Linked DNA regions of Elephas maximus indicus. The protein of the gene in region 4 purifies or fractionates together with the protein of the main gene of each other region. This does not show direct contact. Links are inferred from orthologs where the notes say so. Each region holds a gene or a part of one and is shown on either strand. Other genes may lie near its edges.

The links.
Region 1: the proteins of FBL (region 4) and SIRT7 purify together in Homo sapiens (affinity purification with mass spectrometry; 3 studies listed by BioGRID, with this or other methods). This does not show direct contact. The link is inferred for Elephas maximus indicus from reciprocal best matches to the Homo sapiens genes FBL and SIRT7.
Region 2: the proteins of FBL (region 4) and SNU13 purify together in Homo sapiens (affinity purification with mass spectrometry; 5 studies listed by BioGRID and IntAct, with this or other methods). This does not show direct contact. The link is inferred for Elephas maximus indicus from reciprocal best matches to the Homo sapiens genes FBL and SNU13.
Region 3: the proteins of FBL (region 4) and NOP58 purify together in Homo sapiens (affinity purification with mass spectrometry; 7 studies listed by BioGRID and IntAct, counting the BioPlex papers as one, with this or other methods). This does not show direct contact. The link is inferred for Elephas maximus indicus from reciprocal best matches to the Homo sapiens genes FBL and NOP58.

What each region holds. Positions count from the first base shown.
Region 1 is NC_064837.1:71,705,585-71,712,687, forward strand, and holds the start of SIRT7 (NAD-dependent protein deacetylase sirtuin-7), read right to left. Parts: upstream 3,017-7,103; 5' UTR 2,987-3,016; coding exon 2,894-2,986; intron 2,823-2,893; coding exon 2,685-2,822; intron 2,359-2,684; coding exon 2,254-2,358; intron 589-2,253; coding exon 518-588; intron 403-517; coding exon 330-402; intron 1-329. UniProt on the Homo sapiens protein: NAD-dependent protein-lysine deacylase that can act both as a deacetylase or deacylase (desuccinylase, depropionylase, deglutarylase and dedecanoylase), depending on the context. Specifically mediates deacetylation of histone H3 at 'Lys-18' (H3K18Ac).
Region 2 is NC_064822.1:185,823,445-185,830,649, forward strand, and holds the start of SNU13 (NHP2-like protein 1), read right to left. Parts: upstream 3,012-7,205; 5' UTR 2,899-3,011; coding exon 2,896-2,898; intron 1-2,895.
Region 3 is NC_064824.1:101,105,863-101,113,641, reverse strand, and holds the start of NOP58 (nucleolar protein 58), read right to left. Parts: upstream 3,022-7,779; 5' UTR 2,803-3,021; coding exon 2,758-2,802; intron 1-2,757. UniProt on the Homo sapiens protein: Required for the biogenesis of box C/D snoRNAs such as U3, U8 and U14 snoRNAs. Part of the small subunit (SSU) processome, first precursor of the small eukaryotic ribosomal subunit.
Region 4 is NC_064829.1:111,675,927-111,683,336, reverse strand, and holds the start of FBL (rRNA 2'-O-methyltransferase fibrillarin), read right to left. Parts: upstream 3,007-7,410; coding exon 2,935-3,006; intron 2,631-2,934; coding exon 2,471-2,630; intron 1-2,470.

The DNA.
Region 1 (7,103 bases), on a different chromosome or scaffold from region 4:
GAGGTAAGCGATAGCAGCGCCCCTCTTAGCTGGGAAGGAACTCGGGGCTCCAGTGAGGCAGACGGCGGGGGTCGCTCTGCCCAAAGTGCACACTCTTGGGTCACTGTCTCAGATCCCTCCAGACCCAGGTGAAACCACCCTCCCCCACTCGTTGTGAACCGCCTCCTGTGACTAGGGCTGTGTCTGAGGTTTGCGAGGGTAACACAAGTGAGCATGAGGACAGGGGCCATAGCAGCTCTGGGACTGAGGCCATTAGAGCAGAGGAGCCTTGGCCGAAACTGGCCTTGCTCCTCCCCAGGCTCCTGTGTGCTGCCCACCCATGTGCTTACCAGCTTCTGCTCATGCAGGCGGGCAATGCTCATGTGCGTGAGGGTCGGGTCGGCCTCGCTCAGGTCAGTGGCACTGCCGGGTCAGGGGAAGAGTGAGGTGAGGGTGCTGCAGGGTCAGGCTGCTCTGCCCTGCCCTCCTCTCTTGCTCAGTGGCCCCGGGGTGGAGTGGGTGGCTGAGGTCTGCTTACCTGATACTTCTCCCTTTCTGCAACAGCGTCCACACTCCATTGGGGCCCCGATAATCTGGAATGGAAGCCGCCTGCATGTCCAGAAAGAAAACAAGTCTGGTAAAAGGGTCTCACTGTCGGGACCAACTGAATTTCCAAGAACACGAAGCAGGCGTCTCTCCTGCCTCATTCAGGGCCAGCCCATGACTGCCTGTTCCCCTACAGACCCAGCGCCTGACCTGCCTGACGGGTGTACCACCCGTGGCTCCTGCCTTCCCAGACTCCCCCTTCCCCACTGCACCCAGCTTATCCTTCAAGGCTGGAGGAGGCCACCCACTCTGGGAGTCCTTAGCACCACCCACAAACCTCTGCTGTATTGCCATGTCTGCCCTCCACATGGTGGGAAGCACTGCTCAGCTCCTCTGAGTGTCCCCAGGCTGAGCCCAATACTCAGGAAACACCAGCAAGTGGGGGACCCCTAAGTGGGAAGGCTCTTCTGTCCAAATTCTTACACATCTGATCCTTTTATCTCTAAGAGGCTCCTGTTCTACTTTAACAAAACCAGGACAATCTCTCCAGATGAGAAGAAATGCTAGTTTGTTTCCCAAGTTTCCGGTACAGGAAAACGAGCCTATCTGAGAGAAAAGGACAAAGAAGGCTGCCAAAACCCAGGTGCCTGTGCTCTCCGGGCTGAAGGACCTGCCTTCCCATCACACTAATGAGCAGCACCTGGCTTTTAGGACCACTGATAGCTCTCCAAAAGGCCACAGTCCTGTCTTTCAGTAACCACATGACTGAATTGTACATTTGACTGGTAGGGAGGGGGGAAGCCTGACTGCCTGGGCTCCAGGTGCTCACAGGTTAGATCACCGAGAACCTTCCACATTCTCACTACCCCAGTTCAAGGCCACCTCTCCCTAAAAGCCAACCTGAGTTGAGTTTCCCCACTCCCTGACCCCACCGAGTGCAGAGCCTGGATTTGTCACATCCCCCTCACACATTCAACTCCACGTTACCACTGTTTGTTTACACGCCTTGTCACATTAACAACAGGTTTCTCAAAAAACAGGAATCAGTTGGTGTTCACCTCTGTGGGGTGACACGTGCCTGACGCTCAACACAGAACCATCGTATTAGACAGAGTATGTGCCAGTCACACTTCCAAAGCTAGTCATGTCCCACAGCTCCTCAAAAAATCAGGATTCGCATCCTTACAGTCTCACTTTCTATTTTCCTCCAACGTGTAGAAACCACGAAGAAGCCAGGTTCAGGAGTCAGCTGCAGGGGTAGCTCTGCCTACATGACCGTGGGCCAACGGGTTAACCTCCTTCACCGCAAATGAGGAAGTACCTGCAAGCACTAAGCTGTTATGTCCTGTTTTTTCTCCTCTGCTTTTCTTGTCTTTAACCAGGTGTAACAGAGTTCCAGCATCTTTATAGTGTTGGGAGTTTTATGCTCCCTGTTAGGCAGTGCCGTTTGTATTTCTCTAAGAAAGGAAAACACTTTACAGCTGTTCTATTTTGTTTTTCACCCCAGTCTACAGTGCTGAACTCTGTTCTGGGGTGCGTCACCCAGAAGAGGGCGCCCCATGGCCACCCCTGGGACCGGCAGCCACGTGACCCATGGAGCGCGCGCTCTCAATTTCTCTGGGGCCAGGAAAAGTCCTATGAGTCAGAATCGACTCCACGGCAACGGGTTAGGGGAAGAGTCCGGAGGGCGTGGGGTGACCCGGGGCGCAGCTGTTCACCCGTCCCTACCGTGCTGATCCCTGCGCCTGTGTAGACAACCAAGTATTTGGAGTTCCTGACGGCGCTGGCCAGCTCCTGGACTTTCCTCCGCAGCTCTTCCGGGTCATCGCATACCTGCGAAGACGCCGAGACTGGTCATGGCCCTATCCTTCGCTCTTGCCCCCCACCCCAGGAGCTGAAAAAGCCGGGCCAAGCAATCCCAGGCAGATGACAGCTACGGCAGGAATGCCGTCTGAGACACGCTGGGAACGAGGCCTGACACGAAGCACGCTCTGGACTACGAAGCGCTCCCATTCCTCCGATCCACGCCGGCACCCACGTTTGCTGTCACCTCAGGAGAGGCGACGGGGCATCGGGCCAACCGAGTGGCCCGGACCGGCCAGCGCAGAGCGAGAAGCACGCCCTCGGAGCGCCGCGCCCGTCCGGCCCGCGGGACTCGCCTCCTCCTGGCGCCGCTTCAGGCCCTCGCGCCGCCGGCTCCGGCCCTGCAACTCTGTCACTAGGTCCTCGCTCTCAGCCAGCAGCCGACCTTCCTCTGCGCTGCGCTCAGTGACCGCCTTCCTCAGGATGCGGGACACCTGCGGACGCGTGGGCGAGCGGTCAGGGTCGCGTGGGGCCTGGCCCGGGCGGGGCGCGGGCGGTGGCCTACCTGGCGGAGGCGCTCCCGCTGCTGCTCCTCCCGCAGCCTCCGGACTCGCTCCGCCGCCTTGCGCTCGGAGCGGCTCAGACCGCCGGCTGCCATCGCTCCCCGGCACCTGCGCTTCCGCTTCCGCCTCGCCGGCAGCCTCGTGCCAGGCGCATGCGCGCGTCAGGCCCCGCCCCTTCCGGCCCCGCCCCATCAGCCCGCACCTTCCAGCCCAGCCGCAAAGAAGCACCTGCCAGTCTCTTTAAAAGGTGTTTATTGATCATATACAAAATAAAGAAAACCTTATATATCACAAACATACACTATGTACAGCAATAAATACCCGGGGGGCCCGGCCCAGCGCCGCCCCTCCTGGACAATAATTTAGCAATAAATACTGCGCAGGGCGGGTGGCGGCCGCAGGCCGGCCGCTGCCCCGAGCGGCGGCCCCACGCCCGGCCAGCCCAGCCCGCTCTAACCCCCACCGTCCCGGCCACAGCACTGGGCAGGGTCTCACCAACTCCCTCCGACCCCTCTCAGCGCCACAAGGGCGGCAGAGCCGGACACCAGGCAGCCCTTGTCCTGTTGCCCTAAGTTGCCAGGAGGAGCTTTCTGTACCCACTCCCGTTTGGTTAAAGGCTTCGGGACTAAGCAGGGTGAGGGATGTGGAGGGGGCGGGGAAGGGCAGGAGGTGGCTAAGGGGGCCAAAACCCAACTGGCGTCACCCAGAACTGGGAGATGTCATAGTCCACCGGGCTCCGACCCACAAGACACCCAGTGCGTAGAGGCTGCTACTCCTAGGGGTGGGTAGAAATTGGTGCCATTGGCACTCAGGTGCCCCACCTGCCCAGGACACATACTACATAGCAGAACAGGCTATAGGCAGTCCCGCGGGCACACTCCCACCTCCGCATGGCACCCACCATGTCCTCCACACTCCTCGGCTGCTCCAAAGCCACTGATAGCCAGCAGGAAGAAAACAAGCAACACAAAGAATTATTCAGTGGCTTCTGGGGGGAAAAATCGTTAATGTGTTGGTTCCTTTCACCAAACCACAGCCTAAAAAAATAACTCACAAGATCCCAGAGCGGAAACAGCCCTGCAGGCTGTGGCTCGGCTTTCCAGCTGCAGACAGGGAGCTGTCGAGAGGGAGGTACAGCCAAGGGGCCACTCCAGAGAGGCAGGCAGCAAGGCAAGACAGGGCCTGACCAGGTATCCCAGGGCAGGCTGTGGCTAGTCAGTGCTATGGCCAGGCACTGAGACCAGAGGATGCTGACAAGTGGGCAGACCTGAGGCACGGACCCAGAGCAGAAAAGCCTCCAGCCTCCAGGGAGGGCAGGTGCCCAGCAAATACACCAGTGCCACACAGAACCACCAAAGAGCAGCAGCTGGGGATGGGGAGGCCCTGTGAGGTCAGACACTTCGAGCAGAGCTGGCCTGTTACTTCAGGGTTGTTTTCAGAAACCCGAGTGTCCATGTTGGGATAAGGGTGCAGCTGGGGCAAGTTCAGGGTCAGAAAGGGATGCGCATCTTGGTTTACGTAGCGGACAAGTTTGAAGACTTGGCCTCGGCCCAAGCCTCGACTCGCTGTGTCAGGAAAGTTCAGGAGAGAAAGGAAAAAACAGAACACAACACGTTCACGGTAGAAAACTCAATCAACAAAGGATTAGACAGACACAAAACAGTTACACGTGGACACGGATCTAGTGCCAAGAAACCAAGGGAAAAGGGCAGAGGGGCAGAGGGGCAGAGCAGCCCCTTAGGGCTGGCTTGGCAGGACGGGAAGGCTCCCGCAGACCCAGAACAGTGGCTTCAAGTCCAAACACCATGAATGCAAGCACGGCATTCTCACGATGTCACTCACTCCAGAGCAGCTTCTTCCACAGGCTGAGTTAAGGACCGGTACCTGCTGCCACAATGCTCACCATCAAGCCCTTCCTCGCCTCACCCACTTCCTGCCTCTGCTCTCCCAGCTGGCCGTATGTGGCCTGCAGAGGCACTTAGAGATAGACGACAAGCTCCCACGCCAATGACAAAAGTGAGAACAGAGCAAGGGAATGGAAGGTCTGTCCTCCTCGCTCCACCACATCACACCCTCTCTTTCAGGCTCCTGGTGATACAGCTGGAACTCACTGCTACATCACCACCCTGGCAATGCAGCCTGGACCCGAGAGGGACAAAGCCCGACGCCAGGGAGGGCTTAAACCATGGAGGGACTTGGAGTCACAGAGCTGTTTGTGGGCCAGCCAGGAGCATCTGAGCAGAGCCCCAGAGAGGCTACACCATGTATGGCACGTGCCTGCCACGACCGCAAGCACGTGTGTGGCCACACTCGCTGACAAGACACCACTGCCTCAAGGCTGTCCCGGGTGCCCGCCTCGCTTCTTACTCTCCTCAGCAACCCTCACCTGTATTCTCTAGCGCTCTGGAGATACGGGCCAGCAACCCTGGGAGAAGCCAAGCCCCCGTGGCCAGAAACAGAGCTGCAGCATCTCAGGCCATGCTGTGAGCCGACCCAACACACCCTACCAGGAGCTTCCCGTACCAAGGCTGGAGGGTCATCTGCCCGTCCAGTGGCCAGCATGGGGAGGCAGCAGCCCTGGCTTGAGCGGAAGTGCCTCTGAAAGCCAAGCAGCTGGTCCCTGGAAGACAAAGATCCCAAAGGGAGGTGGAAGAAGGGCCTGGAGCTGAGAGCTGTAGGCCTGCACAGGGGGAGGGGGGAAGGGCCCAGCGTTGAGGTCATAGCCCTTGCTGGCACTGATAGAGACCCGCTCCCCAGGCCCTTGGGGCGAGGCAGGGATACGAAGAAGCCCTGCTCCTGGGGAAGCACCACCCCAGCCCTGAAACACTTCTGGGACAAGTGGGCGGTGGGGTCATAGCCCCCCGTGTTGGCCCAGCAGCTGACAGAGGTCACGAGGGAAGCCCAGGAGCAAAGCTGAGGCCAGACCTGTGCTGCTGATAAGAAACAATGAGGAAGACAGATGGGGCAGCTGGGCCACACCCCATGGGCACCCACAGTGACTCCTGGGTCCCTGCCAGGCCACCGCCCAAGGCCAGAGGCAGTGGACATGGAGGCAGTACGGGAGGCCACTGAGAGGCCCCCAGTTCCACCTGCCCTGTCACTGGCCCAGCCCAAGTCCTAGAGACACAAACGCACTCTCACACACACGCACACGCAGGAAGCTGAGGGTCAACAGGGGTGGGGAGCAGAGCCCAGTGTCTGCATCCAACATACACCTAGAGCAAGGCCAGGCCACCAAGGGGTACAGGGTAGCGTGGGAAGAAGGAGAGGCCGTGCTGCCCAGCACCCTGGCCCGGCAAGCCAGCAGGTGCAAGATCACAACCAAGTCCCAAAAACAAACACGGGGGAACAGATACGAGAAGTGACACCCACAGGTCAAAGGTCACCAGAAGCACCAGCACGTTACGGCCACACAAGACCTCACCAGGCACAACAAAACCACGGCACCGGCAAGAGACGGAAGCAGATAGGGCAAGGCCTAAGTCACTTTCGGTACAATTGCAAAAGAGATATCAAAGGGGACGTTAGGACGCGCCTGGGGGGGTTCGCGGTTTGGCTTTTTTTTTTTTTCTTTTTTCTGTCTTTTTTTAAACTAAGTTTTATAAATAATGTCTGATAACTCTGTGTTTATAAAAACTAAACTCCAACAGCCACAAAGAGTTGTCCATAAATTTACAAGAAAGGGCTTTTTTTTTCTTTTTTTGAACTACCAAAGCTTCTGTTACGCTTTCTTCCCTTTTCCACTGACAGGGTCAAATGCTCTTCTTGCCTTTTTTTCTTTTTTTTTTTTTAAAAAGACAGTTTTATAAATACTTTGCAGCTTTTTTTTTTTCTGTAGCTTTTAAACATATAATTTAATAACTTCGTAAAAGGAACTTACTCTCTCTTTTCAGGGCTATTTAACCACACAAACAGATCATGTAAACAGTGACACAGGACCCACCGAGAGGATACACTGGACACACCCTTCACAGACGCACACAACCAGTGATTTTGGTCTCATTCAGTGCAATACGTTAGGTCCGAGCGCTGCACCTGTGGCCCACAGCCTCACCATGTCCTGGCTGCTGGGCCCAGCTGGGCTCAGCCCGCAGGGGCCTCACAGGGGGCACACCTGCTCTTCAGAGCGGGGCCAAGCTGCCCGCGGGTCTGTCTAGAAGGAGTCACGCAGCGCCCCCCTCCAACCAGTGGCAGCAGTCAGGGGCCTCCTAC
Region 2 (7,205 bases), on a different chromosome or scaffold from region 4:
TATTTCATCCATGAGTTATTTAATACCTTCATCTCCAAACCCTAACTTCTTATTTCTAACTTATTTGCATTTTGGTTGAGAACATGGTCTGTATTATTATCAGTCTTTTAAAATGTATTGCAACTTGCTTCATAGCCTGTAAACCTACTACCATCAAGTCGAGTCTGACTCATAGCAACAGAGTAGAACCGCCCCACAGGGCTCCCCAGGCTGTAAATCCTCATGGAAGCAAACTGCCCCATCTTTCTCCCTCGGAGTGGCTGATGGGTTTAAAGCACCAACCCTTCAGTTAGCAGTCAAGCGCCTAACCACTGCACCACCAGGGCTCCTGCATGACCTACTAGGTGGCCAGTTTTCATAACGTTCCTTGCATGAAAAGCGTCTTCTATAGTTGTTGCCTGCAGCGTTCATTTACTACATCCCCTATGTCCACTAGATCAAGTTTATTCACAGCATTGTTCAAATCCCCTATTTCACGTTTTGTCTGCATGATGTATCAATCACACAATTTAAAAAAATCTCTGCAATTGTGTATTTGTCCTTCTTGTACTTGTCAGTTTCACTTATTTGTACCATATTTTGTAGCCACCCTCCATTTTTACTGATGCCTTTTGCCTTAAAATCTCTCTCTCTCTCTGATACTTATATAAAAAAAAAAATTTTTTTTTTATAGGCTACAAAAAAAACCCCAAAAACCCAAACCCATTGCCACTGAGTCGATTCCGACTCATAGCGACCCAACAGGACAGAGTAGAACTTCCCCATAGGGTTTCCAAGGAGCGCCTGGTGGATTCAAACTGCCGACCTTCTGGTTAGCAGCCATAGCTCTTAACCACTACACCACCAAGAGTTTCCATATAGGCTACACTACACCTTATTTTTAATTAGCATCTATTTTCATTCTTGTCATTTGCAACCTTTCTGTATCCTTACGTATTAGACGGATCTCTTGTAAACTGCATATAATTGGGCTTTTCTTTTTTAATTTAAACTGACAACCTGTCTTTTATCTTAAGCATTTAGACTCTGTATTTAAGTACTGATATACTGGGTTCAAATCTTCCCTTTTGTGCTTCCTATTTGTCCCACTTGTTTCTTTTTCTTTCTTTCCTTCCTTTGGAGTTATTTTTTTTAATATTTCCCCCTCTACTGGTTTGGTATGTTTGTTCTTTTGGTAGCTACCTGAGAAATCACAACGCATCCTTAAACTGATCAAAATTGAATACCTCCTCCCAAACCATAAAGAACCCAACAACACTTTAACTCCACACACTCCTCATATATATATACATATATATGTATATACATACACACACGGAAACCCTGGTGGCGTAGTGGTTAAGAGCTACGGCTCCTAACCAGACAGTCGGCAGTTTGAATTCACCAGGCGCTCCCTGGAAACCCTGTAGGGCAGTTCTACTCTGTCCTATAAGGTCGCTATGAGTTGGAATTGACTCAACAGCAGTGGGTTTGGTTTTTGGTTTTTTTATTTATACACGCACACTTCAAAAAAAAAAAAAAGCCACTTATTTCTAGCGTGGCTTCCAACAATTCATCTCTGGAAAGGAGAATGCTCAATTCTCAACAGTAACTGCAAAAACGGGTACACTTCCGGAGCCAGGACAACCACTAAAGAGGACTCACCTTATTGTTTCCATATTAATTCACTTAAAAAAATAAAGTCAGGCTCAACTTTAAAACCAAACTGCCTAGCTTGTAAATACTAAGTGAAACTTGCTTAGTGTAGTCATTCACCTTTTAATTCTCTCATGTGTTAGTTAGGAGCAGAATTAAATGAACGAATGAAATCATACCCCTAACTCAGTTAAGCTTGGTTAGTTTGGTCTCCCTGGACACCAGACAGCCCAGCCCTGCAAGGTTCTAATCTAACACCAGACCATGAAATCAGGAGCAGATGTTTAACATGCATTAGCTATCTCAGTTAATCCTCACAACATTCTCAGGCACTGTTAACACGATTTTACAGTTGAGGAAAACTGCTGCGAAGTTCGACCTGAGACCGTCTGATTTCAGAACTTTTCACAGAGCTGACAGCACGATGAGCGCTGGTTTGTAAACTTCAAGCTCTAAGCTCGGCCAAGTACAAGCTTTTAACTTGCGGAGGGGGGAGCGCGAGACCGGGGGCAGTCTCGCCGGGCTCCGGAGCCCCGTTAAGCGGATTAAACCTCATCATGAAGTGTTTTGCAAACACTTCCTTCCCTTCCAAGTGCCAACCAAAACTAACAACCAGGATACCCGGTTTCCAACTCTCCCTCGACGACTAATTACAAGAGTTTAATGGAGCCGCACGTGGTCCCACCAGGGCCTCATTTCTGAGCCGCCGCCTCGCAAGGGACTTTCCTGCTCCCCATGCCCAGAATCCAAGTCACTCCAGTCTTCCCCCGCTTCAGACGCCCCTTTACTCCCCAGCACGTGTCACTCGCGGTAGGGACAGGGGCAACCACGAACATCTCCCTCTCGGGAACCCCAGCCATGGGAGCGGGTGTCTGACAGAACCCCAGGGCTCCACGCCATCTTTTAGAAAAAAGATACCAAAAAAAGGAAAAAGGGTGGAACCGGCTTCTTCCGTCAGCCTTTCTACCCTCCCCCACGTGGTCTGGTCTCCTTCCCCGAAGCCCAGGTATGCCCCCGACTAATGCTTAGGCACTTAGGGCTTCCCCAGTTCTCACCCCGGGCCGGGCGGCTGGGATCACGCGGCTGCATGAAGTCTAACCCCGGGCCGGGCGGACGAGACGGCGCACGTTCTAAGCCTGGGCTGCCGGAGCCCCAACCGCGGGCCGGGAGGGCGACGGGGCGCACGTTTTAGGCCCCCGACAGGCCAGCGAGTAAACCGACCCCGAGTCTCTCGATTCCCGGCCCAGCGAACGCACTCACCATGGCTGCGGTTCCGCGGTCTCGTCACTCCTGGAGCAACGCGGCCAAAGCCTGAGCAGAAGCGCTCGCCTCCGCCGGAAAGCTGCACGGAGGAGCAGAAATGGCCGCGCAAACCAGGAAGCGGAAGTAACGTCACAGTGGCGTGGCGGACATCGCAGCCCGTCGGGGGACGTGGGCGCAGAAACGGCGTCAGTTCCGAGTCGGGAGCGGCTTTCAGCTGTTACAATTCTCTACCACCTGTCAGTTTGTGGTGCCCCTGGCTTGCTTGTTGCTAGGATGCTGCAAGCTATCCCACTGGTTTTTCAAATACCAGCAGGATCACCCATGTGTACAGGTTTCAGCAGAGCTTCCAGCTTAAGACAGACTAGGAAGAAAGGCCTGGTGGTCACAGACAAAAATTAGCTAATGAAAACCCTACGAATGTGATCATGGGAATGGCACAGGACGAGGCAACGTCTCCTTCTGTGTATTTGGGGTCACCATGCGTGGGAGCTGACTCCATGGCGACTAGCATTATCATTCTACTTAAAGGAAGAAACAATGAGTTAAACATTAGAAGAAAAAAATGCACTAAAACAAAGGGTTTCAATGGTGTCATCACTCCGTTGCTGGCTTTTTTTTTTTATATAAACACATTTTTGTTGTGCTTTCAAAATCATCGTTCTAAATACACCAGCGAGGGAAGTGTATTGACATAATTATGAGTAATCCTAAATGTTTCCCTTCATTTAAAGCTATGTTTTGTAAAAGTTTCTGGTGGGGAGTGGAGTTGGGATCCACTGAGCAGGGAATTCAAGAGGAAGAGCAGGTTTGGAGGATGGGGGTTCAGCTTGTGTCAGGCTGAGTTTGGAGATGTCTTATGACCTCTCTTTCTCATGGTTAGCATCTCGCCCTTTTCTCTTTGCTGCTCCGAATCTCCATTATGTTGGGTTAAACTCATGCCTCACTACATCCAAGAGGTTCTCTCTGATCCTTCTGGCCTTTCTCATACCTCTACTATTTGGTTGAAGCCAAAACTAGGACATTTTGGGCTAGTTCCCGTTAATGCCTTTGAAAACTGAAAAGTTGAAACCGGGCAGGACCCTTGGGAATCATGCAATGCAAACCTTTCATTTTACAGATGGGGAAACTGAGGCTCAAAGTGGGGAATCTGCTTGTCCATGGCCACAGAGTGAGGTCGTGGTAGAGCCAGAACTGGACCTTGGCGTTTTTGGCTCCTGGCTTCGGTTACTTCCATCATATCTGTTTGCTCTGCTTTATCATATTACGGGATGGGACAACAGGAAGGGTTTGAACTGGCTCCACAACCAAACATTTTTTCCATTAAAGAGTCCCCATCAAACTTCACCTCATGTAAATCTGAGATGACTTGTGAAAACATTGTTTGCAAATTAAGAAATGCCCATTGATAGCTCCTGTTTAAGGATAGAACCTGTGACTTGGACCCTGCTCCGCAGCTCTGTTGGATCCTGTTTCATGTTTCCATGTCAACCGGACTTAGCAGCCACCACTGTTGGGGAAGGAGACATTCTAATTTACAGCCGTAGATGTGTCCTTAACATTTGCTTCTTAGATGTCTTTTTATAACAATTTCTCATTGTTAATTTTGCCTACCTGGCCTCTTGGACCATCATATCCCAGATCTCGGTAACAACTGATATGGAAAGATGTTTTTATGATCGTAAGTGATGACACAGTACACTTTACCTAAGCACCTGATGAATTTTGTTTCCCACCTGTATAATAATTCAACTTCCATGTTCTCTCAGAACCAGTCCATCTTTTTGTTTCTTGGTAAGTCCCTTGCCTATTAAGTTAATATATGATGACATATGTTCAGGATCAATTTGTTTTAGAAATTTGTCTATTACCGTAGAAAACCAAACCAGTTGTCTTTGAGTTTGTCTATTACCATAGAAAACCAAAACCAAACCAGTTGTCTTTGAGTTGATCCCAACACATGGTGACCCCATGTGTGTCAGAGTAGAACTAGGCCCCAGAGAGTTTTCAAATGGCTGAGTTTTTTGAAAGTGGATTGCCATGCCTTTCTTCCAAGATGCCTCTGGGAGCAGTAGAACCACTAACCTTTTGTTACTATCCAAGTGGTTAAATGGTTAATGTGCTCAGCTGCTGACCAAAAGGTTGGCAATTTGAGTTTTTTTTCAGAGGCACCTTGAAAGAAAGGCGTAGTGACCTACTTCCAAAAAAATCAGCTATTGAAAACCCTGTGGAGCATAGCTCTACTCTGACACACGTGGAGTTGCCATGAATTGGAATTGACTCAACAGCAACTGTTTTTTTTGTTTGTTTGTTTTTTTATTCTTGAATTCTAAATTGCCATGGTTTACCAGTGCCCTCTCCACCAGTACTCTCCCACCCTACTCCCATATTACAGCCCCACCCATCTTCTTTTGCTACTGCAAACCCACCCCATTCCATTCTCTCCAAACTGACCTGTCACCCTCTGCTGGGAGTGATTTGCTCCACTGTCCTGGCTTGGCTAACTCCTAGTGGCTATCCCTCCAGTGGAGCCTCCTGATTACCTAGACTGGGCTAAATGCCCCTGCTGGATGTTCCTACAAGCCCCAGTACTTGTCCTTTGTAGCACTCACTTGCCTTGTCTTGATTCAGTCCTGCCTTCCCACGCACACTGAGAGCTCAATGAAAGCAGGGCCTGCAGCTACCATGGGCACTTTAGATAACTGTCCTGGCAGCATGCCTCTCACAAAGGAGGGACTTGTTTCACTTAGGGATCTTTGGGGGCAAGCAACCAAAAAGAGATTTTGATGAAGACTCTGTAATGGATCTCAGAGGTTCAAGGGGAGCTGACTGTGAGAGCTGAATCAGTCCTACAGTTGGTAAATAGCTGATGCCCCTGCCCCGGGGCCCCAGGGACCACTCACCATCCAACAACTGAAGGATTAAGGCCTGGCCCATTCTTATCGGTCGATGCCTCAGCCTGCTCAGTTACCCAGCATTTTAAATATAACTTTTTGGTGGAAGACAGTCATCAGGATAACATGTACTCTCTCACCAACACTCTTCCTGAGATGGGAAAAGTAATTCCTCAACAGGAAATCAGGATACGGTAGGAAGGGATGCTGGGTGGTCAAACAAGAACGTTGTTGTTGGGTGCCGTGGAGCTGATTTCCGACTCAGAGCAACTCCATGTGACAGTGTGGAACTGCCCCATAGGGTTTTCTCGGCTGTAATCTTTATGAAAGTAGATCCCCAGGTCTTTCTTCCACGGTTCCAACCTCTCAGTTAACAGCCAAGTGCTTAGCCATTGAGCCGCCAGGACTCCCTGTTCAATACAGTGTTGGTTAAATTTTTGATAATGGAGAAGCAGATGGACAAATGGATGAAAAGCACTCACAGGAAGAAAGAAATCAAGCAGACCACAGGGTACATCACCCCATCATACATGGTAGAAACTTAATCTCTTCACTCCAGAGGACAGGGATCTTTACAACAAGTTTGTCTTCCCCTTAACCCCTTTTGGTCAGTGTGCCAACACTGTTCTCACCTGCACCCACGCCCAGTGGCTGGAGCTGAGGCGGGGGCACCATGCTCCTTTGTGAGGTGGCCTCAGTGACAAGGGTGCTATGAGGCGGAGGCTACTCCACCCCAACCTGTCTGGGTCAGCCAGACAGGTCCTGCCCTTCAACTCCCCAACACCACCTGCCTGGCCAATGCTTTGCCATGTTGCTGCCACTGCTGGGCGCCTGTGCCCTGGTGGGACCATTCCAGGGTCCGGAGTGGGAGCCAGTGCGGAGCCTGCTCTCCCAAAATGGCAGCTGCAGGGACCCTCGGTGCCTCGGCAACCTACTTGTGCTTTGCCTCTTTCTGATCTGGCAGGCCCAGCACTATTGGCACCAGGTCAACAAGACCCGCCGCAGCCTAAGGAAGGCCATCAAGGTGAGGGGGCCCCAATACCGCCTTCCTACTTCCCTCAGCACTGTGTTTGTCTCAGCCACTCATTACCAAGACCCTGTCAAAACCAAACCCACTGCAATTGAGTCAACCCTATAGAACAGAGTAGAACTGCCCCATAGGGTTTCCAAGGCTGTAATCTCTATGGAAGCGGACTGCCACATCTCTCTCCCACAAAGCAGCTGGTTCTGTGCCCTGTGCCTTTCTGTTAGCAGCCAAGCACTTAACCAGTGCATACCAGGGCTCCCTCAAGATCCTGTAAACAAAAAACCAAACTCGTTGCCCTCTAGCCGATTCCGACTCATAGTGACCCTATAAGACAGGGTAGAATTGCCCCATAGGGTTTCCAAGGAGTGGCCGATGGATTCAAGCTGCCA
Region 3 (7,779 bases), on a different chromosome or scaffold from region 4:
GTATAAATTTCACTAAAAGGCATCAAACTGTGCATTTATAATGGGTGAATTATAAAGCATATAAATTATACCTCAATAAAGCTTGAAAAAATATATTGCTCAGTAAGTTACATATGAACGTTTTGTACATCAAAAGTATCTTTTCCCAAAACTTCGAGGAAACAACGGACACATGATGGATGACAGGCTACACAGCTCCACTGTTCAATGTAGCTATTTAGATTTAAATAAAATAAATTTCCTCAGTCACTTTAGCCACATTTCAAGTGTTCAACAGCCACACGTGCCTAGTGGCTACCATAATGGACATCACAGCCACAAAAGGTCTGAGATGAAGTAAGACTAAAGGATGTCTTGAGTCTTATGTTGTGTTCACATTATGACAACTGACCCAAATCGAGTCTTTGCAAGTCTAGAAATAACTACAATAGTTCCTTTACATATTCAAGCCCTGGTGGTGCAGCAGTTAAGCGTTTGGTTGCTAACCAAACGATTAGCAGTTCAAATCCACCAGCTGCTTCTTGGAAGCCCAAGGGGGCAGTTCTACTCTGCCCTATAGGGCTGCTATGAGTCGGAATCAAATGGATAGCAATGGGTTTTTTGGTTTTACATATTAATGTGACTTTACTTTCATATATAACCTAGCTACAGAGTAATCAATTGTCGAAGGTATTTAATTATTTTGAATCACACTGTATATTATACGGATATGTATGTGTACACTGGGGCCATGATATAAAAGATATTCTTTACTGTGAATCAAGATAAAAAAAAATCTGGAAAACACCTTAGAGCATTTCCATAAAAGCATAAATTTTATGCAACCAGTATAATTTTAGTTGTACAACTATCACCACAATCTAATTCCAGAATATTCTGTATGTCTCTTTTTACTCAGAATCAAGTGGTAAATACTATAATTCCAAACTATAAATGAAATAAAAATTTCAATATACTCAAGCCTGACAATTTATTTCTCTAATTATGAGACTATATAAACAACTTAATTTTGAACTGTAACTGAAAACAGCAACAGAACATTCAAGACTTACTTTGTGGAGCAGGATACTCTTCATTAACAGAAATTATTAAATCATCAAGAGACAAAGTTGAATGCTTTATGACCCCTGTCTAGAAACCAGTCAATTTACTGCTAGGCCAATTCCTTCCTACATTTGGAGACAAGTTGACTAATGAGGAGTTCCTCTAAGCATCCAATTCAGAATTGTATACATAATTGTTTGCAATGAAAGTTCATCAACATGCCCTGATTCAGAATTTGACAGACCCTACTGGCTAAGAGAATTTGGCTAAGAGAATTTGGGGTATGTTCAGAACTGTACTTAAGAGTTTAGGAAATATTTTAAAAAGGTGGGAAAAACAAAATAGAGATGTTCTAGGACTTTAAAGTGGAATAAGGGTCTCTTAAAAGTCCATTAAACTGCGAATACTGCAATTACAGATAATCCCAGTGACAGGAAAAACATGCAGTCACCTTTTGGTTTTTTATTATTATTTTATTAAAAAATAACAAGTATTTGATGTAACAAATGCAAACTGAAGTGTATTTTCAAATTCCGGGAATAGAGAACTAGAAAGCGAAAAGTTCTCCGTTCCCACGTATTTTGGTATATACTTTTCAAACTTTCTGCGTCCATACAATATACATAGAAGCGTTTCTTGATTCACAACTGGAATCGCACTTATGTATGTCTTATCTAGGACTTTCTGCTTTATATCAGTATATATCAACGTAGCATATATGTGCAAACTTTGCTGTGGTTAAGAGCTACGGCTGCTAACCAAAAGGACGGCAGTTCGAATACACCAACCGCTCCTTGGAAACCCCATGGGGCAGTTCTACTCTTTCCTGTACGGTCGCTATGAGTCGGAACCGACTCAACCGCAATATTCAGAGCAAAGTGCCTGGCACTTGGAAGGCCCTCAGTCTAACCTCGTTCTTCTTATTCTTAGCATCTCCATAGTTTTCCACTGTACGAACGTCCCATTCCTGTGCTGATGAACACGTCTCAAATTGGTATCACCAATCCAGATTTCTCCCCTAAACGTCGAATTTGAAATATCGAATTGCTGGATCTACGTAACAACTGCACTTCCACTTCTAACAGATCGCCAAAGCCAGAACCCTTTAGTGCCCCTGAACCGCCCAAAACCCACAACTTTGTTTCCCTTCCAATCTTTCCCACTTCGGTAAACGGCACCACGGTGCACTCACTTACTTAAAACAAAAATCCACTCACTCCATCAGCAGTTCTATCTTCTAAACTTCTCTCGTTGTTTCCCTCCATACCAACCTTAATTCAAGCCATTTTATCTTGTTTAGATTAATGCAAAAACTTCCTTGCTTCCTTTACTGCTCCCTGTAATCTAGTATCCACACAGCAAACATACTGAAAGATAAATTAGATCAGGTCTTTCCTTTGCTTAAAACCTTCCAACGATTTCTGAAAGCACTCAAAATAAAATCAGAACTCCTTATCATAAGATGAAAAGCTTGGATAATACCGCTCCTGCCCACCTTTCCAACGCGTCCAACCCGCCCAAACGGCGGGGCCACGTGTTCACTGGAACATGGTCCACCCAAGCCTGAAGTCTTTCCCTTCCTTTCAGAGCCTGGGCACATAAAGGCACCCACGCAATCCTGAACAGTCTCGTCCTCTCTTCAGGTCTTTCGCTCCCTCGCCTGCCCAACATTGGCCTTCTCTCTCGTTTCTCCAACGACCCAATCTCACCTACCTTAAAGATGGCGTACCCTACAGACGTTTCAAACAGCACCAACATGGTGAGGGCTGGTCAAGGAGCCGCGCGGCCCACCACGAACTCCGATATCGGTGGAAAGAGGCCAATCTGCAGCCCCAAAGACCCGCAAGGCCGCTGCTGGAAATGCAAAGGCGCGCACACCACCACCCAAATTCTCAGACCACGTTGTCTCAACGTTCCACACTGTACTGCAGATAGAACACAAGAACGCGCTTCCCCCTAGCAAAGGTTTCTAGGCTAGCGACGTCACTGCCGATTGGTCCGTGTCGTCACTTCCGGAATGTTCCCGCCGAAGGGGGGGTGGGGGGTGGGGTCATGAAATTATCGCGAGATTTCATAGGAGGCGAACGGAGTTTTTTTACGGCTAGGTCGTGTGGTAAAATGAAGAAAAAAGCTTCGTTTAATTTTTTTACCTCCATAGGTGCTGTATTTTACCTATAGAGGAGTGCGAGGCTACGTCGGCCCTACCTGCCTGGGGCGTCTGGAATTTAGGAAATGCTAGCTAGTGCCGCTAGACTTTACTGTTTTTCCCTGCCTTGAATTGAAGGTCTCATCACTCTTAACTGTATTTGCGAGCACTCCCGGCCGTTCTCTTCTCTCTGGCTAAACTAATTTTCAGCGTAGATTTCTTTCAGATATAAAGTGGATCTCTCCCCATTTTTGTTGCATTTGCAAAAATTACGTAGGGTATGAATTTAGACCTAGCCTCCTTGTCTTAATGTAATTTAGTAACTGGACTTAAATATCCCAATTCTGTTTTCCAATAGGAGTAAAATTTCTTTCCTCACTTCCCAGGCCCCATATGCAGATTGTAAACATTCGATTGTAGCCTGCTCAAGGTTATACAGCACTAAGTGATGTAATTTTCCCCTATAACTGCAACCTGGAAGCAAGAGGAAAGAAAACCTGGGTTGAAAACAGAAAAGAGGGATGAGGCAGGATGAAGGGAGAAGGGGATCTAGGGTGCACACAAGAGCATTGCTGATGATGGCCTCTTCAGAAAGGCAAGAAAAATTAAAATGGTTTGACTAGGGGAGTGGGGGTAGGGTGGATGAGGTGGAAGCGCTGGGTCTTTTTGAAGTGTTATATAACTTCAGAGTATGTTTCTGTCTAGTCTCCCTAGCGGAAGTGCCATATGCGAGACAGTATAGTCTGTATCTTAAACACACTTGTATCTATACAGGGTCTTACACTTGTAAAATAGAATCTCGTTAAGTAATTCCACAAAACCCACTGCCGTCGAGTCGATTCCGACTCATAGCGACCCTATAGGACGGAATAGAACTGCCCCATAGTTTCCAAGGAGCGCCTGGCAGATTCGAACTGCCGACCTTTTGGTTAGCAGCTGTAGCACTTAACTACTACGGCACCAGGGTTTCCCATTAAGTAATTATTAAACATTTATTGATTAAATGTCTACAGAAAGTAAAATTGTTTTCCTTGTATCTAAAGCCTTGCAGCCTTTACTCAAAGGCAAATGAAACTAACCCTTATTCAATGACAAATCACTTTACTGTGGCATCTCCTTGAAGTTGTTCTTTCACTTTGCCATTTACATAATCAGCTCAATATGATGTATTAGTCAGGAATTCAGAGCTGCTTCTGATACTGGATTTGGATCTTGGCCAATAATTGTCCGGGAATTCCTTTCTGCAAGGGAAAAGTCAGAGCCTCAATATTAAAGAAAGTACTAGGTCAAGGGGAGAAAACACAAAGCAGTGTGAGGAATAGGACATAGGGTATAAACAACCAGAGGGCTTGTATTTTTAGTAGTGGCTGAACATTGTGTAATGACAGGGACAAGAAACATGGCTCTCTTGTCCTCTCCCCACCCCTAAAGCCCCCACTCTTTTTCCAAACTAGAATACAAACTTCATGAAAGTTCACTGCTGGAACCCCAGCACTAGGCTAGTGTCTGGCACATAGTAAGGGCTCCATATATGAAGGAATGAATGAATGGAATGAGGCAATGATGGAGTTAAAGTATTTCAAGGTGCTAATAAAACAGGGCTAATTTTGTTTTTTTTAAAGCCATTTTCTTAAAATTTTTGTCTCCTCTGGACAGTCCCTCACCCAGCCCATTTCCTGAAATTGTTTTTCTCCTCAGAACTTCCTTGAAAAGAAACAGCAACCAGCTAGCTGGAATCGGCTGAAACAGGTCCTGCCCTCCAAACTGGCACTCTAGGTAACCTTTAGGTCGTTAATTGTCTCAGTCCCCAGGTCACGGGAGAGCTGACATGCTAATGAACAGAAATGGCTAACTTCTCTTGCACAGGGAATCCAACCTAGGCCCTAGAAAATGCTTACACATTCTGGAATGCTCACCACCACCGCACATGCCATCTTGTATTTTGTAAATGATCTTGCCTATATAAACCAGCCTCAACAAGCTGCCTGCTGGAAGTCCTGGAAGGCACTTAGTCCCAACGGTCTGGCACGTTTTCAGAACAGCAACACCAGTCAGTATTTGAGTGATTGTAATGAGCCTCATTTTAAATTAATAAATTAACATTCTCATCTATGTAACAACGGGTATGTTTGTTTGTTTTCAGTGCCACGATCACACAGCCTCCCTCGTTGTTCCCCAGAGGTTGGGCATGGGGTTTTTCGTTCTCACACAATCATTGGACTGCTGCCCACAACTCTGTCTTCCCTTGCTCTGGCATAAGCTAGTGTTGCAGTCCCTCTGATCTGCTGATTGTTGCCGCTTTATTGAACACATGTATTGTCCACGTCACTGCCCACCTTTTCTAGACCACCAAGAAAAGCAATTTGAGGAACACTAATTTAAATGATTTTGTGATATTGTTTTAAAAACAATCTTAAAAGAGAAGTAAAGTGAACATTAATTTTGTAAAGTAAAGCTATGAACTACTTTCAGTAATGGGACTAGACCTACTGCTGTGGGCAACTGTAAAAGCTGGATAAAATATTTCTTAAAAATTGCATGAGGTCCTCTAAAAGTTAACAACATAATGAAGAAGCCCAAGATTTTGGAGAGCAGGGGACTCCAAGGAGATGAGCTCAAAATTTGGTGCCACTTTTCCCCTTGTGGCATTTGTCAACTACAGAAGAGGTGGCTAAGAGGCTGAAAAGTGCTGTAGGGGGCACGAGTTGAACACTGGATCCATCAAGCATGGAAGGCCTAGCAAACCCCTCAAAATTTGGAATGGAACACCTAAGAGTTGCACCCTAAGACTAAGGGTGTACCAGAAGGAAACCAGCAATACAGAGGATCGGGAAGGCCAAAAGTTGGTTCTTTGATATTACTAATAAAGTTAATAAACTCTTGGTGAGACTGTTCAAAAGAAAATAGAGAAGGTACAAATAAGCAATATTAGGAATAAAAAAGGGAACATCCTATTGATTCTACAGACATTAAAAAGATAATAAAATGTTTATATGCTTTATTACTTGCTGAAGTCCCTGGGTGGTGCAAACAGTAAAGGCACTCGGCTGCTCACCAATAAGTTGGAGATTCAAGTCCATGCAGAGGTTCCTTGGAAGAAAGCCCTGGCAATCTACTTCTGAAAAATCAACCATCAAAAACCTTATGGAGCACAGTGCCATTCTGACAAACATGAGATCACCCTGAGTCAAAACTAACTTGAAGGCAACTGATGCTGGTTTATACTTGTTATGGATTGAATCATGTCGCCCCAAAATATCTGTCAACTTGGCTAGGCCATGATTCCTAGTATTGTGCAATTGTCCACCATTTTGTCATCTGATGTGATTTTCCTATGTGTTGTAAATCTTACTTCTATGATGTTAAAGAGGCAGGATTAGAGGTAGTTATATTAATGAGGCAGGACTCAATCTACAAGATTAGATTGTGTCTTAAATCAATGTATTTTGAGATATAAAAGAAAGAAATAAGTAGGAAGACATGGGGACCTCATATCATCAAAATAGTAGTGCCCGGAGAAGAACTTGTTCTTTGGACTGTGCTGAAAAGCTCCTGGTTCAGGAGAAGATTGATGATAAGAACCTTCTTCCAGAGTTGACAGAGAAAGTCTTCCCTTGGAGCTGGAGCCCTGAATTTGGACTTCTACCCTTCTAGATGTGAGAAAATAAACTTCTGTTTGTTGAAGCCATCCATATGTGGTATTTCTGTTATAGCACCACTAGATAGCTAAGACAGTACCAGTGTATAAGAGTTTCAGGGTAACAGTACCAATGTTATTATTGTTATTAATAATGTTGAGAATTTAGCTTAATTAGTAAAGAATGTCTGCCTTGAACATGGTGCTCTTTTAAGGTCTGTGTGGGATCAACTTGACAACAGCAACTCAAAATATTAGATAGGAAATTTAAGGAGCAGTGAGTTCATTTTAACAGAGGAAGAACAACTTGGAAAATGAGAGTGAGAACGGTTGTACAACTCAAAGAAAGTAATAGATGTCATTGGATTGTACATGTAGAAATTGTTGAATTGGTGTATGTTCTGCTGTGTACATTCTCAACAAGAACAAAAAATAAAATAATTAAAAAAAAAGTTGGAACAGTTGAAAAGCTGAATTCTTTTTGTCTCCAGATTATATCTCGTTAGGGATGTACACTCAAATTACTATATTTGGATCATTTCTCATTAATGATTAGACTACTAATTTCATCCATAATTAGGATCAAACTTTTTATTTCAGAGGGAAAAGAGGGGATATATGACTGTCATTATGTTCCAAATTTGTAGGACAAGTTATATAAGATACACTGACTTAAATATTGTGTTTATCGATATTTCTATTTAATGTTTCCCCTTGGAAAGTTCATGTATTCTTTTAATTCAAATTGGCCATTTTCTCTTTGGTTTCCAGAAAAATTTACTCTGACTTTAGTCAGTTTTTAAACAATGATTATTTATGGATTAGTTGATATGAACACAACATAATATTGAATTCAGAAACAGAAACTAAATCAGTTTCATAAATCACTCCAATGTGTATCTAAGTTGTATTCTGCTCTAAAAATCAAGTAGGAAAGCACCAGGATTAGAAG
Region 4 (7,410 bases):
GAAGTTTGTTTTTTTTTTGTAGAGGGCCCTTCCACAAATACACTGGTTTCAAATCAGCTCTCCTCCCACAGCCTTCCCCAGTTCAGCAAACAGCAACTCCATCCTTCCAGTTACACAGGCCCAAACCCTTAGCTATCCTTGACTCCTCTCATACCCTCCATACAATCTGTGGGTTTCTACCTTGAAAATATATTCCCAATCAGTCCCACTGCTCGGCCACGTCCACTGCTAACACTGCTTCAGGCCGCCACCATGTCCTTCCTTCAGGGTTACAGTAGCAACCTCCCACTGGTGTGCCTGCTTCAACTCTTGCTCCCTTCTAGTCTCTCTTCCACACAGAAGCAAGGCCAATCCCTTAAGAAATACTAATCAGACTGTACCCCATCCCTGCTCAAAGTTTACCAAAGGCTTTCTCTCTCACTCAGATTACACTCTTACTAACAAGCTGGCTCCTGACAACTTCTACAGCCTCACATCCTACCATACAAGGCGGAAGAGGCTGGGCTGGGGTAGAAAGTGTATCCACCATTTACAGATGACAGGATGCCTGCAGGCATGCCAGAATCTCACTGAGATGCCTGGCCTAGCACCACCCCCCAATCCACCCCATCAGATCCCCAAATACTAAGAAAGGGAGTTTGGGAGGGGAGCATGGATCCACAAATTTCCCCCTTCCCAGATGACACCATCTCCTTGACATCCAAAAAAAAAAAGGAAACAAAAAGGAAAACCTGTGCTTAAAACAACAAGAACAAAAAAAGGGCCCTTCTGGCCATGGGTAGGAGATTGATCAAACCCAGTGAAGCAAGTTCTCTCATGGGGGGAGGAGAAGGGGGATGGGCCTGAGGGGAGGGGCAGAAGCTGAGACAGCAGGCATAAGGACCTGTTATGGATTTAAGTGCGTCCCCCCAAATTGTGTGTTGTAAATCCTAACCTCTCTACCAATGCTATAATCTCATCTGGGAATGAGATGTCTTTGCTATGTTGAGACAGGATTAGTGTAGGGTGTGTCTTGGGTCAATCTCTTTTGAGACATAAAAGAGCTTCAGCAGGAGAGAAGCAGAAATGGGGGATGAGAGATGCCAAGCCACATGAAGACTGCCCAGGAGCAGAAGTTCAAAGAGACAAGGACCTTCACCGCAGCCGACAGAGAGAGAAAACCTTCCCCTAGAGCTGGCACCCTGAATTTGAACTTCTAGCCTCCTAACCAAAAAAAAAAAAAAAACCTGTTGCCATGGAGTCAATTGCGACTCATAGCCACCCTACAGGAGGAGCAGAACTGCCCCATAGGGTTTCCAAGGAGCAGCCGGTGGATTCAAACTGTGGACTTCTTGGTTAGCAGCCGAGCTCATTAAAGCCACCCACTTGTGGTATTTCTGTTATAGCAGCACTAGATAGCTAAGACAGGACCCTAATTTTATTCTCCTTGAGAATGGTAACAATGAAAGCCAAGATACCAACACTAAGCAATTATGCCAAGCGTTGTTTCAATTTTACAGGCTCTCACTTAATCCTGACCGGGCGTAATTTTATTAATGAGAAAACCGAGTCTCGAAAAAGTAATGCCATTTGCCCAAGGTTACACCAAGAGATTAATAAGCAGAGCCAGAGATGAAACCTTGAATTGAGGCCTGTCTGCTGTCAAAGCCAAGACTTCCACCATTCCATCATGAGAAGCCGTGATGGGTTCATCAGAATTCGGGAAAACCGAATGAATAAAACCATTCTCTGTGACTAGCTCCTGTTCCCCGCCCCTCCCACCAGTTTTGGTCTTGTGGAGTTTCACTTCACCGCGGAGTTGGGAATCAGCAGGCCCACAATCTCCCCTCCATCCCCAGCCACCGGCTCTCGGGAAGACTAGAGAGCGGGAAAGTGACTCAGAGCGGGCTGCAGACTATCAAGCCGAGCGGAGATCCTCATCCACTCCCGGCGCTCTCCGAGAAGCCGGGTGGGGGGTCAAGGGGATGGTGGGGGCAGACAGAGAAGGCAAACGGAGAGCCTCCCACATCCAGCTCCCGGACCCAAAATCTGAGACTGCCCATCCCCGACCCAAAACGGATCCCCATAAACCACGCCCAGAGAGAGCCAAGACCTCAGGTGTCTGCATCCAGACTGAGCCAAGCGGCGCCCCCGGTCCAACATCCTGGACGCCTAATGACGGTCCGAATAAGGCAAATCCCAGTTCAGGACCCCCCAACCCCAGGCCCAAGACCCTCGACACAAGCTCGCGACCGCCGAAGCCAGTCCCAAACCCCACACCAGGAACCCGCCCCCCGGGCTCAGGATTGATCCCAGGGAGGAACCAGGCTTCCCGCCTCACACAAAACCAGAACCCCAGCCCCACACGAGACCGGATCCCAGGTTCAGAGCCCCTGCCCCCACGCCAAGGCCCCGCCCCCCAATTCCGGTCCGGCATCCCGACTCCAGCCCAGTCCCAGTCCCCGAGCCCAACCCCAACCCCGGCCTGCACCTGGCCTCATGGTGAGCGCTGAACTGCGCGGCTCCCAAGTCTGCGGCGACCCCGACTCCACGCGTCTCTGGCTTTCGCACGTGGAAAGGAGCGCAGGCGCGCGGCGACGCACGGTGGTGACGCAACCACGCTGCCCCGCCCCTCGGGGCCTCTGCGGCGCCTGTGGCCCGGCGCGCGCGCGGTGGGCGGGGATTCCCCAGGCTTCTGGCGACGACGCGCTCTTTGCTCTCCAAGCCTTTGCCTGTGATTACTTCCCTGAACAAGCTTGCTCCATCTGCGCGGCGAGCATCTCCGTAATCAGGACTCAAACGGAGACCTTCGCATGGACTGTGGCCTCTGCCCCTATTCCTAGCTCACTCTCTGAGGTTCCCCTCGACACCCAAAAAGCCTTCCCTGCCCAATTTCCACCCTCAAGAACACGGACCCCCGTTCGTATATTTGAAAATTGTGATCCTTGTATGTACCTGGGACGGTTCCAGGCTCTGGAAATTCAACAGTGAACAAAACATCAGAACCCCCGGCCTCCTGGAGCTCATCCTCGGGGTGGGAAGCGGTGGAAGGAGCGGGGACAGACATCAAACAAGTTAGTAAAACATGTTGAATGTTAACCAAAAATCAAACTTGTTGCCGTCTAGTCGATTCCGACTCAGCGACCCTATAGGGCAGAGTAGGACCGCCCCTAGGGTTTCCAAGGAGCGGCTGGTGGATTCGAACTATCAACCTTTTAGTTAGCTGCGAAGCTCTTAAGCACTGCACTACCAAATCTCAAAAATTTCAAAAGCTACCAATAAATCTGCCTGCCTTGGCTAACAACACAAATGTTAGCAGGCAATAAATGCCTTGGAGGAAATACGGACTGTTGGAGTAATATTTTTATAAGATGGTCAAGGAAATAAATGTATCTGTGACTTCTGAGTAAGGACCTAAAGGAGGTGAGGAATGAGGGACACACCTGTTTGGTGAAGGAGTTCCAGGCATGGATGTACCGCACTTTAACAATTCACCTGTTGAAGGGCATGGAGATTAATTCCAGTGTGGGGCTATTACCACTAAAATTACTATCCAGTTCGTCTACACGTTTTTCTGTGCCTACACGTTTTCATTTCTCTGGAATAAATGCCCAAGAGTGCAATTGCTGGGGCATATGATAATTGCATTTTTAATTTTATAAATTACTGCCAAATTGTTTTCCAGAGAGGCCGTACCATTTTACATTCCCACCAGCAATGTATGAACAATCCAATTTCTTAGCATTCTTGCCAGCATTTGGTGGTGGTACTATTTCTTATTTTAGCCATTTTGATAGATGTGTAATGATACCTCATTGAAGTTTTGATTTATACTTTTCCTGATGGCTAATGATGTTGAACAACTTCTCATGTGTTCATATGCCATCTGTATATCTTCTTCCATTAAATGTCTTTTCATGTCTTTTTCTCATTTTATAATGCCATCGTTTTTGCTTTTCTACTGTTGAGTTTTGAGAGTTCTTTATATATTCTAGATACTAGTCCTCTGTTGGGTATATGGTTTGTAAACATTTTCTCCCAGTCTGTAGCTTGTCTGCTCAGCCTCTTCACATGGATTTTCACAGAGTAAAATTTTTAATTTTGATGTGGTCCTATTTATCAAATTTTCTTTTTATGGATTATAATTTTGGTGTCAAGTGTAAGACCTCTGTGCCTAGCCCTACATTCTAAAGATTTTCTCCTCTGTTTTTTCCTAAAAGTTTTATGTATTTACATCTTACGTTTAAGCTTAAGATCCATTTTGAGTTAATTTTTATATAAGGTGTGAGGTTTAAGGTTAATTTTTTTTTTTTTTTTTGCCTATGTCTGTTCAGTTGCTCCAAAACCAGTTGTTGAAAAGGCTGTCTTTTCTCCATTGACTCGCTCTTGCACCTTTGCAAAAACTCAGTTGAGCATATCTGTACCATCTATTTCTGAAGTCTCTATTCTGTTCCGTTGATCTATGTGTCTGTCACTCTGCCAACACCACATTGCCTTGATTGTTGTGGCCTTCATATCAGGTACAGTGCTTCCTCCCATTTTATTCTTCTTCAGAAAAATTATTTTTAGTTATTCTAGGGCCTGTGGTTTCCATGCGAGGTCCCTGGGTGGCACAAATGATTTGCACTCGACTACTAACTGAAAGGTTGGTGGTTCAAACCCACTCATTGGTGCCATGGAATAAAGGCCTGGTGAGTGACTTCCATGAGGATTACTCTATGAAGCAGGTCTATTCTGTAACACGTCAGGTTCCTGTCAGTTGGCATTGACGTGACAGCAGTAGGTTTTTTGATTTTGGTGCCTTTCCATATAAATTTTAGAGTAAACTTGTCTATTTCTTTAAATAAAAAAACCTTAATAGGTGTAAGAATGGCATCCGGGCATCAAATCTCCTCGTCTGACTTCACAAGGAGGCAGGTAAATCATTATCAGCATCAACAGCCAAGGGCTGTGAGGTGGAGGTCAGACGTGCCTCCACCCACCAACATTTGTACCAATTCTGACGCCAGCTGTCCCTCCCACGGCGCTCGCTACTTCTCTGCTGGCTTCAGTAATTCATTGCAATGGCCACACAGAACTCACAGACCATACTCACACTTACGGGCTTTATTAGCAAAGTAGCAGGTTACACTTTAAGTGTTGAAAAAACGTTTTAAAGATATCACCTTGAGGACTAAAGTGCACCTGACCCAAGCCATGGTGCTTTCAATCACCTCATATGCATGCGAAAGCTGGACAATAAATAAGGAAAACCAAAGAAGAATTGATGCCTTTGAATTGTGGTGTTAGAGAAGAATATTGCTTATACCATGGCCTGCTGAAAGAACTAACAAATCGATCTTGGAAGAAGTACAACCTGAATGCTCCTTAGAAACAAAGATGGCGAGACTATGTCTCACATACTTTGGACATGTTATCAAGAGGGATCAGTCCCTGGAGAAGGATATCATGCTTGGTAAAATAAAGGGTCACTGAAAAAGAGGAAGACCTTCAACAAGATGGATTGACACAGTGGCTACAACAATGGTCTCAAGCATAGCAACAATTGTGAGGATGGCGCAGGATCACCCAGTGTTTTGTTCTGTTGTGCACTGGGTTACTACGAGTTGGGACTGACTGGACGGCACCTGACAACAACAATCATTTTGTAGGCATCACAAAACCATGGAGAAAGAGGCCATATAAAAGCAGTTCGTTGCACAGCAATAGGATAGGGGATAATTGACATCTTTATTAGTGCCACGGTAACCGTGCTGGTCTAATGGTTAAGTGCTACGGCTACTAACCAAAAGGTTGGCAGTTCACATCCACCAGGTGCTCCTTGGAAACTCTATAGGGCAGCTTTACTCTGTCCTGTAGGGTCGTTATGAGTCAGAATCAACTTGACAGCAACGGGTTTGGCTTGGTTTGGTTTTGGTTTTATTAGTGGTGCAGGACTGGGCATTGTTTCGCTGTGTTGCATATAAGGTTGCCGTCTTGGTTATCTAGGGCTGCTATAACACAAAAACCACAAATGGATGGCTTTAACAAAGAGAAATTTATTCTCTCACAGTCTAAGAGGCTTGAAATCCCAAGTCAGGGTTCCAGCTACAGAGGAAGGCTTTCTCTCTCTCCATGGGCTCTGGCGGAAGGTCCTTGTCACCAGTCTTCCCCGGTTCAGGAGTTTCTCAGCACCGGGACCCTGGGTCCAAAGGACATGCTAATCTCCTGGCTCTTATTTCTTGGTGGTATGGGGTCGCCCTGTCTCTTTGCTCACTTCTGTGTTTTATATCTCAAAAGAGGTTGACTTAAAACACAACCTAATCTTGTAGAACTCAAATTGACTACATCTGTGGAAAGAGACAATGGAAAAGCTCAATATCATCAGTTAGAACAAGGCCAGGGGCCGACTTTGGAAAAGACCATCAATTGCTCATATGCACGTTGAAGCTGAAACTGAAGAAAATCAGAGCAAGTCCACGAGAGCCAAAATATGACCTTGAGTATATCCACCTGAATTTAGAGACCATTTGAAGAATAGATTTGACACATTGAACACTGGTGACTGAAGACCAGACGAGTTGTGGAATAACATCACGGACATCATCCATGAAGTAAACAAGAGGTCATTGAAAAGACAAGAAAGAAAGACCAAGATGGATGTCAGAGGAGACTCTGAAACTTGCTCTCGAACGTCTAAAGCAAAAGGAAGAATTGATGAAGTAAAAGAACTTAACAAGATTTCAAAGGGCCTCTCGAGAAGACAAAGTATTATAATGACATGTGCATAGAGCTGGAGATGGAAAACCAAAAGGGAAGGACACGCTTGGCGTTTCTCAAGCTGAAAGAACTGAAGAAAAAATTCAAGCCTCGAGTTTCAATAGTGAAGGATTCCATGGGAAAATACTAAATGACGCAGGAAGCATCAAAAGAAGATGAAAGGAGTATACAGTCATTATACGAAAAAGAATTAGTCAATGTTCAACCATTTCAAGAGATGGCACGTGATCAGGAACCAATGGTACAGAAAGAAGAAGCCCAAGCTGCTCTGAAGGCATTGGTGAAAAACAAGGCTCCAGGAATTGATGGAATATCAACTGAGATGTTTCAACAAACAGATCCAGCGCTGGAGGTGATCACTAGTCTATGCCAAGAAATATGGAGGACAGCTTCCTGGCCAACTGACTGGAAGAGATCCATATTTACGCCTGTTCCCAAGAAGGGTGATCTGACCGAATGTGGAAATTATAGAACAGTATCATAATATATCACGCAACCAAAATTTTGCTAAAGATCATTCGAAAATGGCTGCAGCAGTATATTGACAGGGAACTGCCAGAAATTCAGGCCGGTTTCAGAAGAGGGTGTGGAACCAGGGATACCACTGATGATGTTAGATGGATCCTGGCTGAAAGCAGAGAATACCAGAAGGATGTTTACCTGTGTTTTATT